Linked DNA regions of Caenorhabditis elegans. The protein of the gene in region 1 purifies or fractionates together with the protein of each later gene. This does not show direct contact. Each region holds a gene or a part of one and is shown in the gene's direction. Other genes may lie near its edges. The genes, in order: F35E12.10 and F55G11.8.

Region 1 (5,259 bases):
TACCATTCACGTCAAGTGCGTTCACGTTCTTGTGTACTCAATCTAGTATGGTTTATCTCACTGATTTGAATTTTGGAGCAAATGGACACAAAGTTGATGTACAAACACTGACACCTTCGGATAATCAGATAACTTATCTCACTTATTTGTAAGTTTTTAAGTTGTTTTAAACTAAGGATAAGCGTTCTTGATAGCAAAAAAACATTTATGGAATTAACAGAAATCATAAATTTTCCATCCCAACCGTCTCACGTGGTGTCAGAGTGTGTCATATTGGTTTGATCTACGTTAAAAATAGGTGGTAGGCAGGCAACGTCACCTAAAAACTTGCTTACCTGCCATTTAAACCCATTTTTTTCTAGCCCTAGTTAAAAACTGTTTCAGTCTATGGTTTTTGCCAGTTTTACTGTTCTGAAGTCACTTCAATAGAGTCTATTTTTGCCAATTTTTTGTTGTAGATCACGTTTTTTCAATCTTTACAATATAGTTGTTGATATCTCGGCCTTCTACTCAGCTGTAAAAATTCTAGTGTTCATTACGAATCACTTTTTTCTTTTCAATTATCTAAATTTTCAGAGCAACTGATGCAGTGCAGAACTCAATGCCTCAAATGATTCCGGCAAAGCTATTCAGTATGGTAACACTAGGCCCAGAACTTTCATTGACTTTGTCTTCTACTGCTGATAATTGGTTAACCCCTTATAATGGAAGGAAAGGAAGTATTTTCTCATCATCTCTATGGACACCTGAAGCAACATCAGGATACAATCATACATTTGGTACGTTTATACCTGTTTTAAATACATCACAATTATTAAAGTTTCAGTATCAACTAATGTCATGACATTTACTTTCAATATTAAAAAGGCCATTATTCATCAGGCTGGAGAACAGATGCATGTTCAAGTTGGACTACCAGGATTTAAACCATCGAGTTTGACATTCACTAACAGTGTTTCGGATCAAAGTCGACTTGCCAATGGAACTTATTTAATGATTGAATACATAGGCGATTCAACTTCTTCATCATCCATTGTCACATTTGAAATGGCCAATGCAAACGGAGAGCAGGGGACAAGTTATTTACCAAGTAAATCTACAAGTTCTTCTATTCAATCAACTACTAAATCGGGATTGAAGAATACATTTGGTATTGCAAGTGGAATTAGTCTGTTGATTGCTTTATTTTTGAACTGTTGACTATAAAATCTTAATTTTCTTAATATTCGAAGAACTCAATAAATTATTTGCATTAGATGAAGTTGAGAAGAGGCGTTACGTCAGAGACTATAAAATCCAAACACTACAAACTATGAAGAGCATGATGTAGGAATGATTTCTTTGTGATCTAGTTTTTAATGACGGCTAATTTTGAAATGAAACGTAGATGGTATTTGATATGTGATCCACTACATACCTCTTCTGACAGGTACCTTCATACAACGATGGTCCTTCGTTCCCTTAAATTCTCATGGGTTTCCTATTTTGATGTGAAAGATTTTCAGGCAACACTGAGTCATTTAACAATTATTGTTTTCCAGAAATATAAAGTTTCACAAAGATGAATCACCTCTTTCCAGATTCATTGTGCTGCAGTTATCATGAAAATAAACAAATCGTAACCGGGGGCGTGGGGTGACAATCATTTGATTGAGGAGGAGGGAGAAGCTTTCAGACAGAAAATCCATTATAAACACGAGGTAAATATATTTGTTCCACTTGCACAGCTTTTTCATTTGTTTGACATTCCTAGTAAGAAAAATCTACAACTTTTTTGTGAAACAAAAGGAAAAATCTAGGCTTTAGGGGAGTAGAATTTGTTAGTAGTTGGCTCATTTCTCGTTACTTTCTTATAGTTCCAGACCATTAGTTCATGATGTCAGAACTTATAGTTATTAGTGTCGAGTCACTGAACTTTTAAACTTTCAAAAAATCCTTATCAGTATGTGTCTGCACCGCAAGCAAGTTTTATTTATATAAGCTAGCCCTAGAACGACAGATGGCAAAAGTCTGTCATTTGAACTTCGGCAAAATTTTTAATACGTTTCTTTTTCCAAATATTTTTCAAATGCTTAAAAAATTTCCAGATGGTCTTCACAATGCGGGTTCCAGTGTTTTTATTGTTCTTTTTTGGATTGTCTGAAGCTGTTGATTTTAGTGAGTTTAGAATTTAAATTTATTTGGGATTTTAGAAAAAAAATTCTTATTCATTAAATTAAAGAAATTATATAGATAAATATGGTTTTCAAAAAATTATTTTGCAAAAGTAAATGTTATTTCTTCTTTTTTTTAAACTTTTTCAATAAATTGTATTCCATGAATTGCGTAAATTAATTTTAATGAAACGAAGGTAAGCAGGCACGAGTGAAAAATTTCCTACCTACCATTTAAGACAACTTCCAAAATTCTAAAGGCATTTTGTATCTTTTCCATGGTGTCACGAACATAGACAGTTTCGATACCACAGTGTACCTCAAAAGATAAAAAACACTTAACAATTTTATAGACATGTTTAAAACATACAATTTTACAACTTCAGATTGTCCCGCTAACAATATCACCTCGGTTAGACAAAATGGTAATATTCCTGAAGGAGCCACAAGTTCAGTTGTAATACCAAAAGGCACAGACTGCACAATTAATGTAATTTTCGAGATTTCACATCGAAACACAGAAAACATTATTTTCAGTTTGACATTCCCAACGGATATGCACTTTTCCTTCAATTGTCTGTGGGTCCTCTTCAAGCAGATGATCATATTTTGTTAATTGACAACAATAATCAACAGAGAGAGTATGTGGAAAGCCAGAAAAAAATTTGAAAAAAAAGATTACAGAGTACGCCCTACAACAAATGATACAACTATTCCTGTATGGCTAGCTGCTACAATTGCTACAATTAAAATCAAAGGAACAACTGGTAACAGCAAGTTCATGGTCACTTATCGATTTAACCAATGTAAGTTTTAGCATAGAATTCTCAACAAAAAATTTAAATTTTAAATATTGTACAATTTTAAAAATGTGTAATCATCACTTTGTTTCAGTGATCGGGTTCACTCAAGTAAAGAAAACAACAGGAGATTATTTTGATTTATCTCAGTTGACCGGAAATACCTACTTCACATTCAACTCATCACCAAATGACAAGGTTAGTTAGAAGCTTCAGAAAATTTTAACACTTCAGAAACTGTGTGCTTTGAGGAGTTGCTGGTAACTTTTCGGCAAACTCCGCATTCAAGCCTTACCTAGCGTTTTCATACACAAAATATACCTCGATATTTCTAAAGTCAGTTAAGCCTCATGAGTTTTATAAATATTTTGTAGTATAATTCATGTGCAACAACGTAAAAATGGTTTTAAACCAAGAAAAAAGAACTTTCTCTTTTGATTGATAAATCAAGCTGCCACGCTTCAAAAAATTCAATCTTGAATCAGAGTATAAACTATAATTTTTGGTTAATGCTTTGTTGTGTAGCAGTATTGCGAATTTTTAAGTAATACGCATTTCTTATATTTATAGAATTTAATTTTCTTTACAGGTTAGGGTAGCACATGGCAAAAAAACATCGGATGCTGAAGATAATGCTCTTGATCAAATCTTTGTGTACGACGGGGACAACCTTACCACTGCTAAAATGATTGGAACTCTTGCTGACATTGGTTCGCCTAAATCTGATATCAAATCGTCATCCACATCACTGACACTTGTCAATTTCTACGGTACAAAATCCACGTCATACGTTATTGGAAATGACGCAACTACAATGATTGGATACAGTAAATATAGCTTTATCGTTTCAAACTCCGGAAGAAAAACTTATGGAAATATGGGTGATCTGTCCGGAAATGTGGGCGGATATACTTTTCTGTGCCTTGATTGCAATCAGTTCTATTTCACAGAATTGCAATTTGCGACTTTTTCCAATGGATGGGTCAATTTCCAAGGGCAATCACCAACTCATAAAAAAGAAACGTTGATTCAATATGAGTGAGTTCACAAAAAACTGTATCAAATTCGTTGAGCTCTTCGTGGACAAGCGCCACAAAACTTTAATTATTAACTTTGGCATTTCTGAATTTCAGTGCTCAAACATACACATCAAGCCAAATGCCACAAGTTATTCCGACTAATATGTTCACGATCAACATTCACTTGGCAACAATTAAATTTGATGTTAATACTGGAAATGATGAAGCCACGTGGCAGAGACCATACGACGGACGTAAAGGATACATTATTTCTCCGAGTCTATGGAATCCAAATGCAAATCCAAACAATTTGAACTATGACTTCCGAAATGACACTCAACTATTCACCTACAAAGTTGACTTTGAAAGAATGAAATTCAGTTCGAATGACCAAATGACACTTCAAATTGGTTCAGGAACTGGAAATCCAGCTATCAACAACCAGTGAGTTGAATAAATATTTTGTAGAACATTTTTGTATTAAGATTTTTTCAGATACCCACGTGATAAAAGTTCCACTGGATCAGTCTCTTCAAATGGAAATTACATGAAAGTAGGACTCACCGCTAGTTCCAACACCGAAGTTCGAGTTGCATTTGAATTCAAGAAATATAATTCTGCAACTTCAATCGGCATCTTTATCACTTTGTTTGTTACATTATTGAGAGTATTTTAAGTTATTCATCTTATCAATGGAAACATGTCGGATATTTCTTGATTGCTTCTGTTCTTTTCTTTATATGGCATCATAATAAACGTTTTTAATGACTTCTGCTATCTCGATTATTTAGAAAATGTGTGTGTTTTTTTCATGAAATTTGCAGATCGTGTGTGTGTAATGAAAATCCTCTATTTGTTACCAGAATCACACATGGAACAGTCTTACTACCAAAAAAATGAACAAAATCTGATGAAGAACATGGGGAAAAGTTCAATTCCTCTGAAAAACTCCTAGTATGCCTATATCGTACATATATACGAGGCACGCATAGGCAATTGTGTGCCTGCAACTTTTTATCTGAAAAACAAATACGCGCGATTGACCGTGAAGACTATTTTAATTTGATTTGAAAAGTAGAAAGTATCACAAAACATAACCCATCACCTACCAGTTATGTGCCAGACTTGAAGTTTTATTTAAAAGGCTTTACTCACAAAATCAAAATACAAAATTTAATGCGTGTCAAATTATGATTCATTATTCAAAAGTTAAGTTCCTAATCTCCGATTTCAATTTCAGTATGCATTAAAATTTCAATTGATGATATCAGATAGCGAATTTTCGGG
Region 2 (4,485 bases), on another chromosome or scaffold:
GGATATTATGCAAAACTGATTATCAGTGGAAAGACAACTGACAAGGATTCACGATTTGAAACTGTAGATGCAGCAGGGAATCTTGTTCAGTGAGTTATTTTTTTCCAGCTTTCAAGTGAAATTTAGAGATTTAGGGATTAGGATTTGGTCTACCCAGTAAAGGTTAAGTGAACACAGGAAGTTAACTTTTTTATCTCAATAATTCTGGCAGAAACTATTTCTGACTATTACATATATGGTACCCATTTTCTGGTAATATGATTGTTTCCAGAACTTCCCAAGAAAACATGGAACCGTATTACTTCCCGGGTCCAAAGTTCACCCTGGCTGTCTCTAATGAAGGATCAGATACTTTTGCATTTAAAGTTGTTTGGTTCACTCGTAAGTTTCGCGTAATCTTTTAATTCGTATATTCCAGTTTCAATTATGAATATTTCAGTTCCAATTATGAACGACGATGCTGCAATCGGGGCTAATGGATTGGTTATGAATGTGACGAGTCAAGTTATCGCTATGCAATACTATTCAATTGGTGACTCTCTTACATTGATGGCCTTCCCTGTAAACCCAAAGAATTATTATTCATTGAGAAGTACACTTGTATTTGATGGACACGATTGCACCTCTTTTAACTATATTTCAAAGTAAGGGTTAGGGAAGTAATATTGGCTCCAAATCTGCAGGAACATGCGAGTTAAGCGTCCACGCCTGTTCATTTTTGTTTACCTTAAGGCTTAGTTTTAATTTGAAATTTTACAGTCTCTACCAGCTGTACCAAACGAAAGAGCAATGGGTATCCAGTCAAGACGAAATCATCATAGTGAACCTTGAAGCCAGTAGTTCTAATGATAAACTCCTTATTCAAGCATCTAAATGTGAGCCAAAATATAGCCAAAAATATGGTTTTGGTTGAAACTGAGAAAATAATCAGATTTGACTGGAACCGGTGAGATGGTGGAGCTTCACCCTCAGGCCAACTCAATCTATAACGGAACTGTAAACGGAGGAACACAGATGTCATCACTTGTTGCGGTGACTGATCTCTCAATGCAAATGATTGATGTTCAGATGGAAAGTGTAAGTTTAACAGAGTTTTGGAGTTTTTCATTAAAATCCTTTATATTTTCCAGGACGCTACAGTCACAGTTTACTATGGTTCTCCAGACGCATCAACTCTTAATAAATCTTATACGTAAGTCGCTATTAATTCTTTCAACTTCAATGCCTCAGTTTTCAGTAGAACACAGTTGAAAAATGCACTTCCATTATCGTTTCGTGGACCTTTCGTGCAGTTTGTGGTCAGTAGTGGCAAAGCTGTGTTCACGTTCAAAAGTTAATTTTTATCGTTTTTTTAAAAATAAAGTATACCAATCTATTTTTTATTCTCAAATCTATTTTGCTATTTTCAAGTTTTGAAGAAAAACATGAGCGGGCATTGCCAAGCTATGAAAGTTTCTACGTATTTTCACTCTTTTTATCCTTTTTTATTCGATATTTTTTGATTTTGTCAAATTGGTTCATCATTTTCTCATCTTTAAAGATTTCTCGAGTCCTTTCAGGATTTATTTTAGCGTTTTCTGTGAACAATTTCTGTTGATTTTTTTTGCAGTTTAACTGTGATCTACACAACTTTTGGTGTAACGAGGTCGCCGCAAGATCATTTTGCAGAACGACCAGGAACTTGTAAATTTTTCCAAAAGTTAATTGAATAAACTTTTTTGTCGATGACGATTTTACGAATTTTCAGGCACTCTGCACCTGATGATGACAATTTACAAGAAGAGGGGAAAGATAAGACACTGTGGGCAAAAGATTCAGAAATCAATAGCTCAAACCCTAGACGATTTTCGTTTGAAAAAAAGAATTGCAGTTGCTCTAGTAGTTTTCGATTTGGAAATATGTACTGACAATTTCTATACTCATTATTTGGTCAACAAAACTGTAACCAAAAGGTCATCACTAGTTTATAATTGGCATTTTCTTATCAACTACGTTTTCAATTTTGATGATAACGTGCCAGTTTTATGCTTTTTCTGAAAACATTGTCATCCAGGTTGTGTTTATATATTCAGTTCCAGAACGTGAAAGTTCTCAACAAAATGTTACAAAAATTATTAATTTATTTGGCTATTGCTGCTATAGTTTCGGCTACGGGAAATGGTAAAACTAGGTTTTATAACTCTTTCTTCAAAGTTAAAACTGCAGGTTGCAAACTTGGTAATGCAATCAATAAGCCCGTTATTGATGGTCAGCCTTTTTATTGGCCAGCTTCATGGAACGAAACCCAACCAGCTCCTCAGCTTGAGAAGGAGCAGTCGTGCAGTTGGATTGTGACAATTCCACGTGGATATTATGCAAAACTGATAATCAGTGGAAAGACAACTGACAAGGATTCAAGATTCCAAACTGTCGATTCTGCAGGAAATCTTATTCAGTGAGTTATTTTTACAACTTTAGAGTGCTGATGATTAAAGCGGCCGAAGGTTAGTTCCGTAATTGAACTTTGGAAGATTTTGCACTGACAATTGAATGACTAATTTTTTTTTAACTTACTGTATTTTCTTCGTTTACTGCTATTCGTGTCATGATAAAGTGCTCAACTGTTATAATTTAAAAGATATTTAGTTGATTATAAATCTGATAAACCCCAATAGAACGTTGCATTTCTTGAACAATGTAAGATTTAGTTAGCATTTAGTTTATCCAATGTTTACAGAACAACCCACGAGAAAATGGAACCTTATTACTTTCCGGCTTCAAAGTTCACTCTTGCTGTCTCCAACGAAGGATTTGCTACACTTGGTTTCAAAGTTGTCTGGTTTCCTCGTAAGCTCATTGTGCACTTTAAAGTTCTAATTTTTCAATATTTTCAGTTCCATCAGTGAATACCAACTATGGCGTTGGAGCTGTTGGAGCAGTTTTGGATGTAACAAATGAGGTTCTTGCCATTGAATATGGTTCAACTGGTGGACTCACTTTAATGGCCTTCCCTGCAGACGATAAAAAATATCATTCGTTGAGAAGCGCTCTCATATTCGAAGGAAATGGTCTGCAAAGTGGAAACTACATTTCGAAGTAAGTTTTCAAACTAGTTAGTTCTTGATATTTTTTCAAGTAGCAATACTATACTTGAAGTCTAAACTGCAAGTAATAAAAAAGAGAATCTAGGGTATTGCAAAATATCATTTGACATTTTTTCAGTCTTTACTTACTCTACCAGTCGAAGAAGCAATGGGTATCAAGTCAAGACAGTATTGTAATAGTGAACCTCGACGCTAGTCAGGTTAACGATAAACTTCTCATCCAAGCATCTAGATGTAAGTCTAAGGATCAATTTCAATAGTGACAAAAAAATACGCAGACTTGACTGGAATCAGTGAGACGGTGGAAATCCACCCGCAGTTGAACTCAACCTATAATGTAACTGTAAACGGAGGGACACGCATGTCTTCTCTTGTTGCTGTTTCCGATATCACAATGCACATGGTTGATGTTCAGATGAAAGATGTATGTTTAACCAGATTAAAATATTTTAAACTTTTAATTCAATAGTATATTTAACTGAGATATATTTTAATTGTTACATTAGGAATCTACCGTCACAGTCTACGATGGTTCTCCAAGCGCATTTACATTTGATAAAACCTATACGTGAGTAAATTTTATGTTTCTACAAGTTAAGTTTTTTTTTTGTTTCAGCAAAACACAACTTAAGAACGCATTCCCACTGTCGTTCGGCGGATATTTTGTGCAGTTTGTGGTCAGCAGTGGCAAAGCTGTTTTCACGTTCAAGAGCTAATTTTTAAATGTTTTTTTTATAAATAAGACCTACAAATTCATACAGATGGTTTGCAAACTTTGATATTTGAAATTTATACGGTTTAAGATATCTCTGTTCATCTTCAGACTTGGCTTTCTGCCAATGGAAGGCGTTGGGGGTAAGGGGTAGGGTCGTGAGCTCTGTGAAAATGTAAAATGATGCCCTAAGCTAAGAGATGAAGTTTAAAAAATAATGGTCTTGTGACAACTTTTAGTCTGAAAATGACATCATTATTGGGACAGGTCGCAGTTTCACTGATAAGTTATGAGTATTTAATACTGATAGCAATGCGAGTTCAAGAAATCAGAAAATCTTAAGAGTGAGAATGATTTACATTTACACTAATTATCCAACACATGAAGAAGATTCCACCTGTAAACATTTTAAGATGAACTTGTAACGAACGTCGAGGAAAACAAAATCGTCAATGAAGCCGACACGGATAGAAGTTCGCAAGTAACCGGTCGAGCTCACACTTCTCCTATGCTTTCCTGCGTCTTTTGAGTAACATACTAAAAAATTAAAAACGTATACCTGTACAACTCTAAGCAGAGATAAAATTTATCCAAAATCGATTGTCACAAATACTTCAGTTCTGTTCAGTTCAGTCTTCAGTTCTGAACGGCATGTAATCACAAGATAAAAAAAAACAAAAATTTGGCGTA

The links.
Region 2: the proteins of F35E12.10 (region 1) and F55G11.8 fractionate together in Caenorhabditis elegans (co-fractionation; one large-scale study listed by BioGRID). This does not show direct contact.

What each region holds. Positions count from the first base shown.
Region 1 is NC_003283.11:13,745,179-13,750,437, reverse strand, and holds F35E12.10 (CUB-like domain-containing protein), read left to right. Parts: upstream 1-2,085; 5' UTR 2,086-2,087; coding exon 2,088-2,157; intron 2,158-2,539; coding exon 2,540-2,643; intron 2,644-2,690; coding exon 2,691-2,794; intron 2,795-2,837; coding exon 2,838-2,959; intron 2,960-3,047; coding exon 3,048-3,151; intron 3,152-3,542; coding exon 3,543-3,991; intron 3,992-4,086; coding exon 4,087-4,416; intron 4,417-4,467; coding exon 4,468-4,648; 3' UTR 4,649-4,742; downstream 4,743-5,259. Other genes in the region: cld-9 (CUB-like domain-containing protein), read left to right, coding at 1-148, 577-779, 827-1,200.
Region 2 is NC_003282.8:12,960,784-12,965,268, forward strand, and holds F55G11.8 (CUB-like domain-containing protein), read left to right. Parts: upstream 1-2,024; 5' UTR 2,025-2,099; coding exon 2,100-2,160; intron 2,161-2,205; coding exon 2,206-2,434; intron 2,435-2,716; coding exon 2,717-2,826; intron 2,827-2,873; coding exon 2,874-3,075; intron 3,076-3,201; coding exon 3,202-3,317; intron 3,318-3,361; coding exon 3,362-3,507; intron 3,508-3,589; coding exon 3,590-3,651; intron 3,652-3,699; coding exon 3,700-3,799; 3' UTR 3,800-3,862; downstream 3,863-4,485. Other genes in the region: F55G11.7 (CUB-like domain-containing protein), read left to right, coding at 1-89, 272-381, 440-644, 760-875, 932-1,077, 1,131-1,192, 1,238-1,337.